2 linked regions of the Anolis sagrei genome follow. The protein of the gene in region 2 interacts with the protein of the main gene of each other region in a biochemical or structural test. Links are inferred from orthologs where the notes say so. Each region holds a gene or a part of one and is shown on either strand. Other genes may lie near its edges.

Region 1 (10,228 bases), on a different chromosome or scaffold from region 2:
GAACTTGGCACAAGGCTTGATGTTACAAAATGGCTGGTTTGAGATACTTTCAGGCTTCTGAATGTTACAAATCTACAAACTCCTTCTTTAGTGAAGTGCTTATACTATCTCAGAGTTCCCTATTGTGAATATCCACACGGTTTGCCCTATACTCGGAACAAACCACTGATCACCAGTCTTTCCTTACTGGCAATCCTGAAAACCCCCCTCTGTTAGATTCCTTTAACCTAAGCAATCTAACAAGGTAACACCTTCAGCTCTCTTGCTGAAGAAATATTCACAAATTCTAGGAACTACTGAATTCTCACAGCTTCACAACAGAGCCCTAACTGGCTCTCCTCTTCCCCGGGTCTCTTCCACCGGACTAAACTACTTTCCCCAGAGTCCTTTCTTGACTCTGCTATTTCCCAGAGCCCTTAACTGGCTCTGCTCTTCTCCGGGTCTCCTCCACCGGACTAAACTACTTTCCCCCAGAGTCCTTTCTTGACTCTGCTATTTCCCAGAGCCCTTAACTGGCTCTGCTCTTCTCCGGGTCTCCTCCACCGGACTGGAGCTTAACTGCCACTTTCCCACCTTTTTCTCCTTAAGCTCCGCCCACCTTCTCTGAGGCTTTGTCTTGTCACCATGGCAACCTATCCCTCACAGCTAGGCCATGGCAATAAATGTAATACATAAATGCAGTTTAAACACAGTACATTAAACACTCTATAATAAACATTTCTCTACACTTACTAAACTACAACTCCCAGAATTCCATAGTATTGAGCCACAGCAGTAAAAGTGAAATCAAAGTGCAATAATCCTACAATGTAGATGCACTCTTAAGTCTACAAAAGTCTTATGCTACCAGCTTCATTATTTCAGTTATTCGCTAAGGTGCTGCAAGATCCCGTTGTATACCGATGTTCCAGACCATTGATTGATAATACATATCCTACCTTGCTTTAATTCAGTGGTTTCTCATCCTGCGGGTCCCCAGATGTTTTGGCCTTCAACTCCCAGAAATCTGAATAGCTAGTAAATGGGATGGGATTTCAGGGAGTTGCAGGCCAAAATACCTGGGGACCCACAGGCTGAGAACCACTGTTCTAGACCAATACGGCAGCATCTTTGAATAGCTGGACAAGGGAGATATCCATAGGATTCCTATTTTATTTATTGAAATTTGACAGTGCCCTTCCTGCCAGAAGTAAAATACTGGCTGCAATTGCTAAGCCCCCTTCAGGCATGTAGCCAGGGGGGGGGGGCTCGGGGGGCTTCAGCCCCCCCCCCCCCCCCGAAATTTTCATGGTGGTTCGCGAAAAAGCCTTAATGGTGCATTATTTAAACTGTTATGTTTATTCATATCATGATCTGATCACCATACTCAATATATCCCATATGCATGGGGGTATTGGGGTAACGATACAAAAGGTTTGCTAGGCTAGCCCCTCTTTCACTCAGACTCAGCCCCCCCCGAAACTCAGCCTCCCCCCGAAACCCCCCCTGAAAAAAAATTCAGCCCCCCCCGAAACGAAATCCTGGCTACGGGCCTGGCCCCCTTCTACAATGTTATATATCCCAGGATCTGATCCTGGGATATAGGAGCAGTGTGGAAGGGGCCCAAGGCAGATGAGACTTCTGAAGGACCATAAATGCCCCAGCTTTTCAAGTCAGGACTTCTCATAATAGCTCTTGATGAATGTCGCCAGAGTGTTTCCCATCCCACTCCATACCTTAACCCCCAAAATCCCCACAGGACAATACCTCTTCGCGTGACCATTTGACTTTGCACCTGTTGTCCCGCCGTTCCTGAGCATCTGAGTCTTGACTGTGCAATTCATCTTGCTCTTCACTAGTTTTAAAAGAAAGGAAGAGACACTTTGTTAACACAATATTGAATTACCTTGTTCATCAGTTGAGAATTTAAGCTTTTCTCATTCAGCAAAAGGTTTAGTTGACCTCCAGCTAGAGTGCTCAAGAGCCTGGACATTCCAATTGCCTAGCTTCCAACAGACCTCATGACCTCTGAGGATGCCTGCCATGGATGTGGGTGAAACATCAGAAGAGAATGCTTCTTGAACATGGCCATACAGCCCGGAAAACTCACAGCAACCCACCTATTAAAATATTGCTAGTTGCATCCATCCATGCAAACAGCAGTGATTTTGTTGAAAAGTGTGCTTCCTAATGTTACTCTCAACCACAGTAGACATAATGAATTAGAAGGATTTGCAGAAGGATTGGCTTACAGATCATCCAGTTGACTATGTGGGTCTGTTAATTGGATTTAGGCCCATATAGATAAATCAAATTAACAGACCCACTGAATCAACTGGATGATCCGCAAGCCAACCCTTCTGTGACCAGCAGTGCTGTGGAATTCGAAGAGGCACAAATGGAGGGCAAAAGGGAGAAACGTGCTAAGAAACGTCCTTCCACCTGGAAACCAATGTCCTCACTGGGAGAGAACATGCAGAACAGCCACCTACGAACCCACCAGACTTGGAGGACCATCATCCTTGGCCCCCGAGAGATTGCCTAAGTAAAGAAGGAATGTCCAGGGAGGAAGAAAGAACTCTTGTCTGTTGGAGGCAAGTGTGAATGTTGAAATTGGCCACCTTGATTAGCATTTAAATGACTTTGCAGCTTCAAAGCCTGGGCGATTGCTGCCTGGGGGAATCCTTTGTTGGGAGGTGTTATCTAGTCATGATTGTTTCATGACAGGAATTCTCCTGTTTCTTGCAATCCTCTTTATTTACTGACCTGATTTTAGAGTTTTTGAAAGAATGGTAGCCATATTTTGTTCATTTTCATAGTTTCCTCCTTCCCGTTGCAATTGTCCACATGCTCGTGGATTCTTTTAATTGCTTTCTTTCAATAACTTTCTCATGACCTCCAAGGAATCTGAAGTTTGTATTTGTTACAAGACACGGGGTGCATTTATACTAAATTTGATGCAGTCTGATACTGCTTTAACTGCCATGGTTCAATGCTATGAAACCATGTGAGTTGTAGTTTTACCAGGTTTTTAGCCTTCTCTGACAAAGAGAGCTGGTGCTCCAGCAAACTACAAATTCTGTGGTTCTACAGCATGGCAACTAAGAGTTAAAGTACATTAATTTTACAATGTAAATGCATACTTCCTTTTCAGTGATTGGAAATGCATTGCCATTTCCTCCATTCAGGTGTGCTGGGGGAAGGGAAGAGAAAGAGCCCTTCCATATAGCCATATAGCCCAGAATATCAAGGCAAAAAATATCCCACAGTATCTGCTTTAAACTGGGTTATCTGAGTCCACACTGCCATATATTCCAGTTTAAAGCAGAAAATGTGGGATTTTATTCAGCTGTGTGGAAGGGGCCTAAATCCCAGAATATCAAGGCAGAAAATCCCACATTATCTGAGTGTGGACACAGATAACCCAGTTCAAAGCAGGTATTGTGGGATTTTCTGCCTTGATATTCTGGGATATAGGGCTGTATGGAAGGGGCTTAAGTAATCTAAAGATTTCACACTGAAATAATAGTTACCAAATCGATCTAGATAAAAACCCAAGCCCTTTAAAATAAATCGATCAGGGAGGACCTTCCTTTCCCCTTCCTTTTTTGGCGCAAAGAGAATTGAGTTCCTCTCCCGCCTTGGAAATTCACGCGGGCCATCTGGAGCACCCCTTAAAATATTGCACCCAAATTAAAATAAAATAGAGCAACCTCGCTTTCAAATTAAGTCATCCATGGAAACCATAGGATCACTTCCACTATTGTGGGGGATACATCTCTCTTTGCTATGAGAGAAATTACCTTTTGGGGAAATGGCCAGGAAATACCCCCCCCCCCCACACACACACACACACTTATTTCCCTCTTAATCAAATTTATAGTATTTAAGGCAATATCATTTTAACCCCAATGCAAAACTCACCAGCCAACCTTGCGGGACATCCTGTTCTGTTCTAGATTTAAAAAAAAACAATTAGGCAAGAATATAAATTAAAATAACGATCCCAAAGAAGAAGAAGAGGTGGATGAGGTTATAGCAGCAGCAGCAGCAAGAGCAACAGTGCTGGCCACCATTGCAAGGAAGGAAAGGGGAGCCCAGGATTAGCGCGCGCGGATGGCTCGCGCCCGCCCGGGTCTCCAGAGCAGCAATTTTTTCCTATCTCGCGCCAACCCCGCCCCCGGCTGCCAGCCAGCCAACCACTTTCTTCCGGCGTGGTGACGTCCCGTGCGCGCGGCGGACGAGAAACGAAAATCTATTGGACCTGGGGTGGAAAGAAGCGGGGCCAAAGTGGCGCGCGCGGGCAAAGTTGGGAAGCTTCTGGTTTAAGAGGCTCAAGTCAGCAGATCCTTCCAGCTGTGCATCATCCCAAGCTAGTAGCGATCAATATAATCAGATGAGCACTGTGGGTTCCTCTTTTGTAAATTTTTAATTAACTAACTTCTTTCATTCCTTCTTTTTTTAAAAAAACTCCCACATAGAGTTCATCTACACTGTAGAATTGATGCAGTTTGATACCTCTTTAACGACCTTGGCTCAATGCTGTGGAATCCTGGGATTTGTAGCTTGGTGTGGCACCAGCAACTGGCAGACCTTGTAAAACTGCATCTTTCAGAATGTCATGGAATTGAGCTATGGCAGTTAAAGTGGTAAGAGATAAAGGAAAAGGTTTCCCCCTGACATTTAGGCCAGTCGTGTCTGACTCTGGGGTTTGGTGCTCATCTCCATTTCTAAGCTGAAGAGCCGGCATTGACCGTAGACACCTCTAAGGTCATGTGGCCGGCATGACTGCATAGAGCGCTGTTAACCTTCCCACCAAATCATCATCATCATCACTTTATTTCTTAATTAGTCGCTTTCCACCAAAATGCTCCAAGTGACTTATAATTTAAAATAGCTTATTTGTTGTTCATTCGTTCAGTCGCCTCCGACTCTTCGTGACCTCATGGCCCAGCCCACGCCAGAGCTCCCTGTCGGCCGTCACCACCCCCAGGTCCTTCAAGGTCAGTCCAGTCACTTCAAGGATGCTGTCCATCCATCTTGCCCTTGGTCGGCAAGGGCAAAATAGGGCAAAATAGCTTATATACAATATAAAAACATTCAACATAAAAACATTCAATATAAGAACATTCAACATAAAAACATCCAAAGGGGTACCTATTGATCTAATAACATTTGCATGTTTTTGAACTGCTAGGTTGGCAGAAGCTGGGCCTAACAGCAGGAGCGCACCCCGCTCCTAGGATTCAATCCGCCAACCTTTCAGTCAGCAAGTTGAGCAGCTCAGCAGTTTAACCTGCTGTACCACAAAATACAACAATAAAGTCTGAAATGACTTGCTCACAACAACAATCCTCATTAACGTGAGTCTCATCAGCCAAAGGCAGGCCTACACTTCCCATTGAAATACTGGCAAGTTTATGTTGGTTAAAATTATTCATTATTTTAAATAGTGTATTGTTCTTTCGAGGGGCCGTAATGGTGCAGTGGGTTAAACCACTAAGCTGCAGAAATTGCTGATTGGAAGGCGGTGGTTCAAATCCAGAGATGGGTGAGCTCCCGCTGTTAGCCCCAGCTTCTGTCAACCTAGTAAAAAGGTAAAGGTTTCTCCTCATATTAAGTCCAGTCGTGTCCGGCTCTGGGGGTTGGTGCTTTTTCTAAGCCAAAGAGCCGGCATTGTCTGTAGACACCTCCAAGGTCATGGCCAGCATGATTGCATGGAGCGCTGTTACCTTCCCACTGGATCGGTTCCTATTGATCTACTCACATTTGGATGTTTTCAAATTGCTAGGTTGGCAGAAGCTGGGGCTGACAGTGGGAGCTCACCCCACTCCCCAGATTCAAACCTGCGACCTTTCGGTCAACAAGTTTAGCAGCTCAGTGGTTTAACGCACTGTGCTACCGGGGGCTCCAGTTAAAGTGATACCAAACTGCATTAATTCTACCGTGCAGATGCCCCCAAGGAAACAATACAAAAAGCAGATCTTCGTTGGTAGAGTCCACTTTAGCCACCATGACTCTACTATGTCCAGTATCTCCCGGAACCAACACTATTGCTGGACTTAATATCATCCACAATATGATGATTCTTTTATACAACAATGCATCTTCTGCATAGGATGTACCTTCATTTCCTGGCAATGCCCTCTTGTATTGTTACACCGGGTTTACAAACCCATCTTGGGAAGGGGGGGGGGGGGGAGAGAAGAAATAGCCAAATATCTGACATCTGAAATAGTAATATTAAGTTTTCCATTGATACATCCATTCAATTAACAAACTTTTGCCACACAAGTCTTATCTTAATATACATTATTCAAAAGTCACTTTACCTTAAATGACGCTGTGTGTATTAATAACGTGCATTGTTTAAGGACCCAACTATCTGATGAAGACTCCTGTGAGTCAAAACCGGTTGAATGTTATGTAATAAAGAAAATAGGACATTTGGGTTGTTGTAAGTTTTTTGGGCTGTATGGCCATGTTCTAGAAGCATTCTCTCCTGACATTTCACCTGCATCTGTGGCAAGCATCTTTACTGTGCAAGGATTTGGAGTTTACTCGTCTGTAGTAAAGAGTCAAGTACTATTTCCACACATGAAGAAGAATTTTTTAATTTTTCGAGAAAAGAACAAATTATTTATTGTTAAATGTGAATGCAACAATCCTATGTTTTACTGACATTTGTATTTGCATGTATACATTGAGCTTCTGTGTGTTTAGATACATTTGCATCACTGCAATTAGTGGATACTGACCTTTTTAATTCCAAGGGAACCCATTTTTCTTTGCTTTTCAACACTGTATGGAACCTAGAGAGAATTCTTTGTCAGAGAATTTTTGGGCCTCACTAATTACAAAATGCAAACAATGTTGCTATGGCATTTACAGTGGTGTAATAATAATAATTGCATACTGCAAGTTGCTTCTGGCGTGAGAGAATTGACCATCTACCAAGATATTGCTCAGGGGATGCTCAAATGTGTCTTCTGTTCGGATATCAACCAGCAAGCCAATGCCCTAAATCAAGAAATAGCCTCCTAAGATCTACAGAGATATTTGCAGGAACACCTCAGCAAGCAAGAGTCCAAAAGTGGCAAGTTAAAACCTGGACCCTCAATCTGAACAGACTGCGCTCTGGCACCACAAGACGCAGAGCCAATCTTAAGAAATGGGGCTTCAAAGTGGAATCCATGAAATGCAAGGGTGGAAAACAGCCCTACACAATGGACGACCCTCTTACAGTGACACTAGAGGCACTGCAAGTGGCCAGCTTCTGTTCAAAAGAAATTTAGTATAATGCCAAGTTTTTAACTTTGTGGTTTTTTGTGAATTATAACTGTATTCTCAATTTGCTTTTGACATTACACATACACACACAATTATTCCACCATTAATCCCATGACATTATCACAGTGTAGTGATAAGAATCTCAATTTGCTGTATGAACATGTATTAATCCCAGCAAACCATCATTACATCAAACACATGGTGATCATTCTTGAATACGACGAACAGAGGAAAATTGACACAGCTGAATAAGAATTCATCAGGAAGTTCTCCTGTGACTCAAACTGTAACAAAGGGCTTATTGCTGTATGTGTTAATCAACCTCCTGTCAATCAACAATACTACTGTTAAGATGACATCAACATGCCTTTTGCATTTGAATTTCCTTTGGCCACGGTGGCAACTCTTCCCCACCCATTCTCCTGCATAACAGTCTGCCAATTTAAAACGTCACCTTCTCTAGCTCAAAGGGAAAGAGAGAATAAATTTGTTCCCAGTGCCACATGTGATTTAATTGTAATTCTTTACTTCAATATTCTATATGGCCATTCCACACAGCCATATAGCCCAGAATATCAAGGCAGAAAATCCCACAATATCTGCTTTGAACGGGGTTATCTGAGTCCAAACTGCCATATATTCCAGTTCAAAGCAGAAAATGTGGGGTTTGGAAGGGGCCAACAAGGAATCTTGTAACACTTGGGAGAATAACACATTTTATTTATCATAAGTTTCTGGCAGGTTTAATAGATACAACCAGATGGGTTGAGGAGTCTGTAAAATATTATGTTGAATAAGACATTCCAGTCCTCTCTAAAGTGCAACAGGACTGTTGAAATATTGCAGTTAATCCCATCAAAGCCATGCATTCCTGTAGAAGATAACTTGTTAGGTGACTTCCTGACATCCAAAGAAAAGTTTACACCTCCAGGTAAAGTAGATATTCTTCCTCAAATGGTAATCAACTTAACTTTACATACATAAAGGGAATATTTATCTATAAGCAAGAAACCACACATATCATGAACAGTATTTTGCTTCGGGGGGGGGGGGGGACGGGGACAACATCACAGTATTCCAATACAGACAATAAGGGCTTGGGAAAGCTACTTTTTTGTATTGCAGCTCAGTTGTACTCTAAAAAGTAACCTTTCAAAGCCCTGCATAGAAGCATATTCAGGAACTCGCCAATGAAGAACCCACTTTGCTCCATTACAGAAATGTTTTGCGATTTAAATGAACTCATTTGTTCATTCCAAATAAATATGCCTTTCCCAGTCTCTGATATAAACATAAAGTAGTAATGCTGTAATTTCTAGAAGTTTAAAACAGAATAGGAGAGTTTAAAAATTGCATTAATATGTTTTGGTACCGAGTACAGAATTGGTACATTCCAGCAGCCAATGTGCCATTCATCCAATATTCTGTACAAGAAGACAGGTGTCATAGGAAGACAAGTCAGAACAATGCCATAGTTTGTCAGAATTTGGTATTCATAGCCTGTGCCTTTAGATGGCACTGTTGTGCTTCATAAACTAAGAAATATTTCTGTATTTCTTCCTTCTAAGGCTACTTCCACACAGCTGAATAAAGTCCCACATTTTCTGCTTTGAACTGGAATTTATGGCAGTGTGGACTCAGATAAACCAGTTCAAATCAGATATTGTGGGATTTTCTAACTTGATAGTCTGAGATATAGGGCTGTGTGGAAGGGCCCCCAGACATATTTCTTTTCCTATATTGTAAAGGTAAAGGCCTCCCCTTGACATTAAGTCTAGTGGTGTCCAACTCAGAGTGATGGTGCTCATCTCCATTTCTGAGCTGAAGAGCCAGTGTTGTCTGTAGATGCCTCCAAGGTCATGTGGCTGGCATGACTGCATGGAGCACTGTTACCTTCCCGCCAAAGCGGTACCTATTGATCTACTCATATTTGCAAATTTCTAGGTTACCAGACGCTGGGGCTTTTCCTATATAAACACCTCTAAAATGGAATGAGTCTTAGGGCCCTTCCACACAGCCATATAACCTAGAATCAACCACAATATCTGCTTTGCACTGGGGGCTCTTCCACACAGTCCTATATCCCAGAATATCAAGGAAGAACACCCCACAATATCTGCTTTGAATTGGAATATAAGGCAGTGTGGACTCAATTAATCTAGTTCAAAGCAGATATTGTGGGATTTCTGCCTTGATATTCAGGGATATAGGGCTGTGTGGAAGGGCCCTGAGTTATCTGAGTCCACATGGCTATATATCCCAGTTCAAAGCAGATAATGTGGGATTTTATTCAGCTTTGCTGAAGGGGCTTTAGAATCACAGTTGTATCTTATGTATTTTTGTTGGTGGTAGTACTTACAATTGATGGTGTTTTACAATTGAAGAAAAATGGTACGCTGGTAAATCAGAATGGTAACATTCTTTGAAGCAGCTAAGATTAGGGGACAGATACACTCCTTTGCAATACATGGTTTTGCACGGATTGATATCACTACCAACTTGGAGTCAGAATAATAAAGCACATTGCCCTTCAATGTGTCTCATTCCTGTGGATCTTCTCAATCCCACACACGTTAAAGGAAGTCCCACTGAGGGCCCTTCCACACATTCATATAACCCAGAATATCAAGGCAGAAAATCTAACAATATCTGCTTTGAACTGGGTTATCTGTGTCCATACTGCCATATATCCCAGTTCAAAGCAGAAAATGTGGGATTTTATTCAGCTGTGTGGAAGGGGCCTAAGATCAATGCATAACAGAAACATGCTTACCCAAGAGTAATCCCCACTGAGTTCAACAGGACTTGGTAAAGCTACATAAAACTCTAGTACATTTTGCATGGGTATACTACTAAAGCTTCAGATTTTTAATCTATTGAAACCCATTTTGAACAAACCCATAGATCTTGGACCAGATCTTGGAAGTGTTACTGTTTGAATTACAGTTCCTAGAGTCCC
Region 2 (10,571 bases):
TTTACTGGAGAATAAATCCTACTAAGCTTAATAAAGCTAAGCTTCATTTCACATTACAGGTTTAGCATCTCTTCTCTGGAATTTCAAAATCCAGAATACTCAAAAATTTGAAACTGTCTATATGGGTGGCTGAGATCATGATAGCTTTGTTTTGTTAATTGTCCGGTGTACATAAACTTCATTTCATGTACAACAGTATTAAAATATTGTATTAAATTATCTCCAGATTATGTGCCTGGTTTATATGAAATATAAATGAATTTCATATTTAGAATTCAGTCCCATCTTATTTATTTATTTATTTATTTATTTATTTATTGCATTTATATACTGCTTTTCTCACCCCTGGGGGACTCAAAGCAGTCCACAACATAATCACTCCACAACATAATCAACGGTAAAATTCAATGCCTCACATGTATAAAAACATCACATATCAAATCATCAACATATGACAATAGATTAAAATCAATAAAACTATAAAACAATAATCCCGATGTTATCTTTAACTATTTCCATATTTCTGTCATTCAGCAAATGCCTGATTGAATAGCCAGGTCTTGTTTCCTAAATGCTAGGAGGAAGGGGGCTGATCTAATCTCACTGGCAAGGAAGTTCCACAGCCAAGGGGCCACCACTGAGGAAGCCCTGTATCACATCCCCACCAGTCGCACCTGCACAAGCATTTCAAATATTCAATGTGTATATAATGCAGTGCTATATTCCAACTGAACTGCCATAGCAATAGCCTATGCAGCCCTATTTTTTTGCAGTTGAGAGAGGGTCATTTACAATTCAGACTACATAGCCCAGGATGCCACAGGCAGTAACCATAGTGAAGTCGATTTCTGCCAGTCTTTCAAATCCTCCCGTTTCTACACACAGCATAAACTGAATTCCGTGAGCAACTCATGAAATGGGAAATGCATCATTTGATCAGCTTCGTGGGACTCTGTCTTGGAAGTTTGTAGAAACAGAAAGGGAAAATCAACCTATTTAACAAGCCTTGTAAATGCTGATTTGTTACCAGTAAATGTTTAATATTTTTATTCCTATTTCAAGTAACTGTATACTTGGGGTCATGTAAACATTTCTCTGGCTGAAAGGAGTCATGGTGGAAAAGTTTGTAAAGCTCTGCTACTGTGGTATAATAGAGAAGGTTATCAAACAGAAGTTTCTGTTTGTATCTTAACCTTCTACCATGGATGAAGTATTCGTCTTTTACTTCCAGTTAAGGATAGAATTTGATTTGCTGTAAAATGCATAGCCAAAAAAAGTGTTTTGATTGCATAGCAAAATACAGCCAGCCCTCTGTTATTACATATTACATATTGACATATTCAACTGTCCATTGGCTTGAAAATATCCCCCTCCAAAAAAAAAAAACATTTATATATTTATATTTTGCCATTTATATAAGGCACACCAATTTACTACAACATTGTATGCAATGGGACTTGAGGAGCCTGGGATTTTAGTATCTATGGGGAGTCCTGGAACTAAACTCTAGGACCCACTGTTCATCCTTTTTGGCTTCTAATGGAAGTTGTTCCTTTCATCAGCATTTATAATTATCCACATTCCTAGAGAAGTATCCTTTGCTAGTTCAAATTTATGTTAACTTCTTATGGGTTAGCCTGAAGGACCTAGAAAAATGCCAGAGAGGCCCTACTTTGTCAAATGCGGGTAGGTAAAGCTGCAAATGCCAATTCTACAGTTACAGAGGTCATACTAAAGTGAGCTCAATGTACATTTAATGCTCCATATATATTCACATCCTCAAGAAAGAGAATGCCATGGACTGCAGTAATCATGGACTGTTACCCAGGAAGACCAAAATGCTTGTTTATAAGGCTATTGTCCTCTCAACCCTGCTATACGCCTGTGAAATGTGGACCATCTACAGACTTCACACCCAACTCCTGGAAGAATTCCATCAGCAATAATAATAATAATAACTTATTAAATATTCTGCCCTATCTCCCCAAGCGTTGTTTCTGAAAAATCCTGCAAATCTCTTGGGAAGACAGGCGGACAAACATCAGTGTGCTGGAAGAAGCAAAGACCACCAGTATTGAAGCAATGATCCTCCGCCATCAACTCCACTGGACTGGCCACGTCTGAATGCCCAATCACTGTCTCCCAAAACAGTTACTTTACTCCCAACTGATGAACGGAAAATGTAATGTTGGTGGACAGGAAAAGAGATTTAAAGATGGGCTTAAAGCCAACCTTTAAAACGGTGGCATAGACACTGAGAACTGGGAAGCCCTGGCTCTTGAACACTCTAACTGGAAGTCAGCTGTTACCAACAGTGCTGAGGCCAAATGGAGGGCGAAAGGAAGAAACACGTCAACAGGAAGGTGCATCATGCCAACCCTGACCAGGACCGCCTTCCATCTGGAAACTGGTGTCCTCACTGTGGAATAACATGTGGGTCAAGAAAAGGTCTCCACAGCCACCTACGGACCCAAGGCTTGGAAGGCCACCATCCTACTCAGATGTGAGTGATTGCTGCTGCTGCTGCCCTGGTCTCCTATACATGCAAAGGGATGCTTAAAATCTTACAAGAAAAGACTTTTGCTACATATGAAGCAAGAAAAACCAATGTCTAAACTGCTTTTTAACAAAAAGGCAAACTACTAAGAGTTATTTTTTGCAAACATATGTTGAATAATGGAATCACCTCTACATTTTAGGGGGGAAATCACCTATGCCTTTATTTATTTGCTATATTTAAAGCCTGCCTTTCTGAGCGATATGGCAACTCAAGGCAGGTTACAGGCTAGCACAATTCCATGCCATACATTCACAAAAGAGCAATTAAAAACAATCAACATAACCATATATATATATATATATATATATATATATATATATGCCAATAAAGCATGTAATCCTTTGATTGCAACAAAGCCTTTGATTCTGCAAGATATAATTTATCCAAGGCCACCCATAGGGTTTGCTCTAAAAGAAATAAAAATGTCAGTTTGCTTGACTTGATGTATTATATTTGTCAGAATTATATCCTGACAAAACTGCCACTAGAATGACACAATATAGAGAAACACTGGCAATGGGGTCAAAGCAGATCACATGCAAAGCAGGATTAGACTCAGAAGAAGGTGGCATCAAAAGTGAGGGAAGGAAGACCAGAAATGTAAGATATGGAGTTGATCCCATTGCAGAATATAGCAAAGACTTTGAACGAGTATTGATGGCAGTTAAGGAAGGCAGTTCAAAAGCAGAGTTAAAGCTAAAAAAAATTAAAAACCAAAATAATGACCACAGATGCTTTACATAACTTTGAAGTGGGTATATTGAAGACCTCAAATAGTGAAAGATTTTCCATAATTTGACTCACTCATTGATCAAAATTTAGATAGTCGAGAAACCAGAAGAAGGATAAAACTTGGAAGAGCAAATATGAAGGAACTAGATAAAATAGAGAGAGAGAGAGAGACAGACAGACAGAGGGCTAGTACAAATCAGGACTGATCTGTCAATTGAATGCCTAGCTCTTTAAGCAGCTCCTCATAGGGCTTGTTCTCCAGACCCTTGATCATTTTCGTCGCCCTCTTCTGGACACATTCCAGAGTGTCTGTACTGTAGAATTAATGTCGTTTGACACAACTTTAACTGCCCTGATTCAGTACTGTGAAGCCTTGGGAACTGTAATTTGGTGAAAGGCATTATAAAACTAAACTGAGCCATGGCAGTTCAATTGGTGTATAGCTGTGTTAATTCTACAGTGTAGATGCCCCCAAAGAAGCCACTGCCCTGAGTTTAGGAGACTTGAGCAGGACATTTGATGAGTGGGGCTCTTGGAGGTCTCGCATTCATAGATTCACCATAAATCAAAGTCAGCTTGACAACATATAACAACCACAAAGAGCTCAAGCTTCCAGCTGCACCTATAGATTAGCCCTGCTCACTGTGGGAGCTCCAGCTGTTGTTCTTGCTGCTTAAACCACCTCTCCAAACACAAGAGGCTTGAATAAAACATTCATTAAAAGAACAGCCCTGAAAATCTCAAGCAGGGAGTCTTAAGTATCCTCTCAAACACATAGAGGGAGACCAACGGAAAGCAAAGCATAATTAATTTCTGTTGAAACTAACAGGAAAACAATGGCAAAACTTTACTGCTCTCGGATTAAAACCTAGAACTGAGTCACACTTTGAAAAATGCCTCCTGGGGATTTTTAATACCATTTTATTTCCTTGCATAGCCTACATGCCAAATGTATATAAATGAGCAAATTAATTCTACCAGGTCAGTTTATAAGGAGGCAATACCTTTATTAGGATTAACGACGCTTCCACAACAGTGAACGGCATTTCCAGTTCTCCAGAATGCATCACCAGGCTTACTTGAAGTTAATTTAAAAACAGTCAATTTAAACAGTTCATAAATAAATAAGTCAAACCACTGCCATCCTAGATAAAGCGTTCTGGAGAATACAAAAGGTTGCACCCTGTTGTGAAACTGTCCTCAGTCCTAATAAAGGTGTTGCAGGCATGTGGGTATATATCTAACTCAAAATATTAACAATGGCAAACCATAAATAAAATAAAAATATTTCTCAAAATGGAACAAAACATACAGTAAGATGAAAAAGTATGTTTATTTTTGTGCATGTCCACTTTATTTCTATTTGAAATGTGTTCTTTGACTGTGATTTCCTGCTTCTTGGCAGGGGGTTGGACTGGATGGCCCACGAGGTCTCTTCCAACTCAGTGATTCTACCATATTCACATATCTAAATTCAGAGCCCACTCTCCTGACTAAAGAGAACAAACTGCAGCCTTCTAGATGCCACTGTATCCCAATTCTCATCAGCTCTACTCATGATACCTAATGATGAGGAATACAGGAGTTGTAGTCCAGCATCCAGGGGGACACATGAAATGACATGACGGGCCGGATTCCACCTGCAGGCCTTGAGTTTGACATTTGTGATGTATATTGCACAGTGAACTAAGCTTGTCACGACCTGGGGTTGCCTTCTCAAGGCTACAGAATCCTGGGATTTGTAGTTTGACAAGGCCTTCTTTGCCAGAGTGCTTGTGCCTCAATAAACTGCAAATCAAAGGATCCCATGGGGTATAAATATAGTAATAATAATAACACTTTACTTTACTGGCACAAGCCAGTCAAGGTGGGCCCAGTGGTGATTGGCACATGGGTGCAGTTCCTAAAGACCTTGTTCTGCACTTAAACACAATTGGCACTGACAAAATTACCACCTGTCAGCTGCAAAAGGCTCAGATCTACACGCATTATTGGCTGATACACCACACAGTTGTAGAGACTTGGGAAGTGTGATCAATACAACAGCCAGCATAGTGATTTTGTTGGCTGTGTACAAATCTTGTGTTTCAAATAAGCATTGAGCCAGGGCAGTTCCCAGTGGTGTCAAAACTGGATTACTTCTACAGTATATAGATCAGGCATGGGCAAACTTGGGCCCTCCAGGTGTGTTTTGGAGTTGAAGTCCAAAACACACCTGGAGGGCCCAAGTTTGCCTATGATTAAGCGGCTGAGGAGGGAACAGAAAGGATCTGAGGCCAGGAATTTTGGGAGTTGAAGTTCAACACACACCTGGAGGGCCTAAGTTTGCCCTTGCTTAAGCGGTTGAGGGGGGAACAGAAAGGGCCTGAGGCCAGGAATTGTGGGAGTTGAAGTCCAAAACACACCTGGAGGGCCCAAGTTTGCCCATGCCTGATATAGATGCACCCATGGAGGCCAAGGACCTCCTTGGGTGCATTGATCTACCCTGTAAGATCAACTCATTTTGAACTGCAATGGCTCAAGGCTATGGGTTCCTGGGAGTTGTTGCTTCACAAGGTCTGTGGCTGTGCCCGGGGAGAAAAGGACCTCGGGACACGCGACGAGACTGAGCCACGCGTTGTTGTGGTGGTGGTTTCTCTTGCGGGAAGGGGCCTAGGCTGGCTCTCCCTGGGCTTCCCTGCCGCATGCCGAGGAAGGAGCGAGAGGCTCCAACCAACAGCCATCCCCAACAGACAGTCGCGGGCGGCTTCCAAGTAGCGGCGGAGGAAGAGGCGGCGTCCGGTCCTCTATATAGGCTGCGAGGAGGGCGTCCCCACGGGCCATTCGCAGTCCCGGCTTTGTTTCGGAGCCTTGGCCTGCTTTGGGTTGGGACAGGAGAGGCCAGGAGGGAAACCTCCGCTGCCAGCTGGAAAGGACGCAACAGGTCGGGGACTGGGCGGCTGCGTCATAGAAATGGGTCTCCCTCCTTTGGCAGGGAAATGCGGGGCAGAAAGGAAGCGGGGGGGGGGGGGGCTTCTGCTGGGGAGCATGGGAAGCCCTTCCAACCTCAGACCCCCACCAGTGGGCACTTGCTCTTTGGGGAAACGCCAGGCAGAAGAGGAGGAGCAAACTTTTCTTTTATGGTTTTTTAGCCCTGTAGAGCAGGCAAGGGCAAACTTTCTAACTTGGGGGCCTCCCTGCTAGGAGGAATGACTGCCTGGTGATGGAAGGAAGGAAGGAAAGAGAGAAGGAAGGAAGAACGAAAGGGAGGAAGGGAAGGATGGAAGAAAGAGGGAGAGATGGAAGAAGGGAGGAAAGACAAAAGGTAAGGAAGGAAGGAGAAAGGGAGAGAGGTAAGGATGGAAGGAGAAAGAAGAAGAGAGGGAGGAAAGGGGGAAGGAAGGAAAGATGAAAGGGTGGAAGGGAAGGGAAGAGGAAGGAAAAAGAGAAGGGAAGACAATAGGGAAGGAATGAGAAAGAGGGAGAGAGGGAAGGAAGGAAGGACAAAAGGGTGGAAGGAAAGGATGGAAGGAGAGAGAGAGAAGGGAGGAAGGTAAGGAGGAAGGAAAGAAAGAAGGAAGGAAGGACAAAAAGGAAGAAAGGAAGGAGAAAGGAAGCTTATAGTTTTACAAGGTTTTGAACCTTCTCTGCCCAATATTGAGTGCTGGTCCTTCACCAAACTGCAGATCCCAAGATTCCATAGCAGGGAGCATGCTGCCAAACTGCATTAATTGTACAGTGTGAATGAAAACTGCAAGGCTCAATGCTGTGGATTCCTGGTGGTTTGTAGTTTGGTGAGGCTCTCATTGTTAAAGAAGGCAAACTGCTGAACGACAAACTCCCATGATTTTATAGCATTGAGCTATGGCAGTTCAAGTGCCAAACTGCATTACTCAGTGTATCGCAGACCTGGGAAAACATGGGGCTTCCAGGCTTCAGCCCCCCCCCCCCCCGAAATTCTCATGGTGGTTCGCAAAAAGGCCTTACTGGTGCATTATTTAAACTGTTATGTTTATTCATATCATGATCTGATCACCATACTCAATATATCCCATATGCATGGGGTTATTAGAAAACGATACAAAAGGTTTGCTAGGCTAGACCCTCTTTCACTCAGACTCGCTCCCCGCACCCCCGAAACAAACTCAGCCCCCCTCCCGAATTGAAATCCTGGCTATGGGCCTGCTTCCAGGTGTTCTGGACTTCAACTCCTACAATAACAACAGCCTCGGGCCCCTTCCTTTCCCCCTTTAGCCGCTTAAGCTTAAGTCCAAAACACCTGGAAGGCCCAAGTTTGCTCAGGCCTAGTGTATAGTGTCTACAAAGCCATGGAAGTCACTGGGGGAAATTGGACCGACTTTTGCCTGAACTACCTTTTGAGGTTGCAAGGTGGAGAAATAAACGTGTATGCTGTATTGAGAGTATTAGAGGAAGGATGGGAGTGTAAATGCACCTATTTCCCCCCCTCTGATTCTTTCCAAGTGAAACATGTTTTTATGATTTGAATACAACAGGAATACCTCTGGAAATAAAGCAACAGAGTTGCAAACTGTTTGGAAACATGACCTGTTGGATTCTGCAGGACATACTCCTGGGAACACTTAAATATCTCCTCATCTTTTGATGTAGTCATTTGGAAGTAAATGCAGTGAAACCTGGTTCCACCTGAGGTCCTTAAACCTTAGGATCTTCAGCTCCATTCCCCTTAAATCACTCTAATCCCATTGGTTCCAAACAGATGGATTTGGTTTGAGAAGGGAGGGAAGGAAGCAGGTGATGGGTCAGTGACACCAGTTTGCAGTTTGGGGGAAGCTGCAGGTAAGTTCATATAATGCTCCGGTTTTAAGTTTTGGCATTATTTAATTTCCTGATATGTTTACTGATAGCCTTTGACATGGCTATCAGTATGTCTGAATGAATCTGTGGTCAAACTATACCCAGTATTTTGCTCGTGAGGGCCACAGGGATTGCTTGAAAATTGAGTATTGTAAGAAATAGCTGAATGTTTACTCCAGGTTTTGAAAAACAAGTAGCTTTGGATGTTGAATAAGGCAGTCTTGCAACCTGTAAACCCCAAGAAGCAATTCATCCTTTTCTTGGCATGAAAGGCCATCTGAGGAATCTGGGAGGTTTAATTGCTGTGAAATAGCTTTGGGAAGCCACTTACCACCTAGGATAACATGCTTATGATTCTCACTGAAACAGGATGCCTCTCAACAAAATGTTTAATGTATTTGTATATATTTTAACTAGTACTGATGAAAGAGCCAGAATGGAGTGATAGTTTAAGTATTGGACTAGGACTCTGTGAGGCCAAGGTTTGAATTGCTACACTGTCTTGGAAACCCAATGGTTGACCTTGGGAAGGTCACATGCTCTCAACCTCAGAAGAATGCAATGGTAGGCCCCTTCTGAACAAAGCTTTTTTAAAAAAAAACAACCCTTGTGATGGGGTTGCCATAAATTGGGAGGGGTTCAAAGGCACATGGCCTTTGGCGTTCCATTCTGGAACCAGTTTGAGGCCCAGATGGTGATTACACAAATCACCGAGCACTGAAGCACATTTAGGGCTGTCTTTCTTGCACTTTTTGTGGAAGTTTGTTGTCTAGCTGCCACAGCCTGAAGCTTCCTTCGAACGTCATTGACCAGTCAGTGTATAAGGGGCCAGCAGCAGCAACTAGAAGAAAGGTCTGATTAACCTTTTCTCCAACCTGCAGTCTTATGGATGTGAAGCACAACAAATCCCACCATCCCTAGGTGTGAAAAAGAATGGTTATTTTAGGTCAATCTATCTGCAAGACTCTAAGTTGGGGGATGATGCCATTAATAAAATTTCTTCAATACCAAAGGCAAGCATTCAAAAGCAGAATGCACTTTGCAGGTTTTTTTAATAAAGTTAAAGCACCAGGCTAGAGATCAGAGCTGTTATCATGAAAAATAACTAAATGTGTGTTTCCTTTTCACCCCAGCATCAGTTGCTGTCCTTGAGAAAATGAATCCCAGCAGCAAAGAGAAAGAGAAGGAACAGGTGGGGTGCTGGGATGACCTGTTGGAAATGGCTGAGCCTCATGCCCATCAAAATGCCCCTCAGAGGGCTGTTCTGAGAGAGATCTCTGAAAATGGACAGCGCCCGAGACCCTGTGCCCAGGTAAATTGGGGAAGAGTGGGCTTCCTAGGAAACTCATGGCACAGTCAGTTTGGTCTGAGCAAGTCTTCAACCTCTTAAACTAAATGTTGAGAATTGGTTATGGTGGATGTTTTAAATGACTATCTAGACATCTTCTCCTTATTCTGCAAACTGATTTCACAAATAATCAGTCAGTTTGACCAGCATTACAGTCAGCTCTCTGTATCCATGGGTTCTGCATCCATGGATTCAACCATCCAATGGCTTGAAAATATTCCCACTATAAAAGTTCCAAAAAGTAATTATTGATTTTGCCATGTGATATAAGAGACACTATTTTACCATATTATGTTATATAATTGGACTGATTTTGGTATCCACGTGGAGTTATTATTTTACTTACTTACTTAGGTGATCTCTCATAGTCCAAGGATGATGGTCCTCCAAGTTTGGTGTTCTGGCAGTGGGTTCGTAGGTGACTGTGGAGCCCTATTCTTGATTTGCATCTTCTCCCACAGTGAGGGCATCGGTTTCCAGGTGGAAGGCGGTCCCAGTCGGGGTTGGCTTGATGTGCCTTCCTCTTGGCACATTTCTCTCTAACCTCCATTCGTGCCTCTTCAAATTCTACATCAGTGCTGGTCACAGCTGACTTCCAACTGGAGTGCTCAAGGGCCAGGGCTTCCCAGTTCTCTGTTTTATGCCAGAGTTTTTAAGGTTGGCTTTGAGCCCATTTTTAAATCTCTTTTCCTGTCCTCCAACATTCAGTTTTCCATTCTTGAGTTCGGCGTAGAGCAACTGCTTTGGGAGACGGTGGTCGGGCATCCAAGCAACATGGCTAGTCCAGTGGAGTTGATGGTGGAGGACCATCACTTCAATGCTGGTGGTCTTTGCTTCTTTAAGACCACAATGTATAATCTTTTAGTAATTCCCTTATTCAAGACATCACTCTATCCAATGCAGTTTTCTGAATCGGCACCCCAAAAAACCAAACCAAATCTAAAGTTGATAAACTGATTCATAACCCTTTTGGTACTAATGTTGGAGACTGATCTCTGGTCAAAGTAGTCCCTGTTCAAAAAAGGCTGGGAAACAGTGGAGTAGGAGAAAGTATCACATTGCTGAATGCCCTTCATTTTATGTATCTAGTATTGTATTCCTCATCTGAAACCCATA

The links. The genes of interacting proteins can lie anywhere in the genome.
Region 1: the proteins of CCNA1 (region 2) and MYBL2 form a complex in vitro, tested with the Homo sapiens proteins (2 studies listed by BioGRID, with this or other methods). The link is inferred for Anolis sagrei from reciprocal best matches to the Homo sapiens genes CCNA1 and MYBL2.

The regions. Positions count from the first base shown.
Region 1 is NC_090024.1:212,222,522-212,232,749, reverse strand, and holds the start of MYBL2 (myb-related protein B), read right to left. Parts: upstream 4,149-10,228; 5' UTR 3,924-4,148; coding exon 3,904-3,923; intron 1,835-3,903; coding exon 1,747-1,834; intron 1-1,746. UniProt on the Homo sapiens protein: Transcription factor involved in the regulation of cell survival, proliferation, and differentiation. Transactivates the expression of the CLU gene.
Region 2 is NC_090023.1:35,420,076-35,430,646, forward strand, and holds the start of CCNA1 (cyclin-A1), read left to right. Parts: upstream 1-6,145; 5' UTR 6,146-6,215; intron 6,216-9,240; 5' UTR 9,241-9,263; coding exon 9,264-9,419; intron 9,420-10,571. UniProt on the Homo sapiens protein: May be involved in the control of the cell cycle at the G1/S (start) and G2/M (mitosis) transitions. May primarily function in the control of the germline meiotic cell cycle and additionally in the control of mitotic cell cycle in some somatic cells.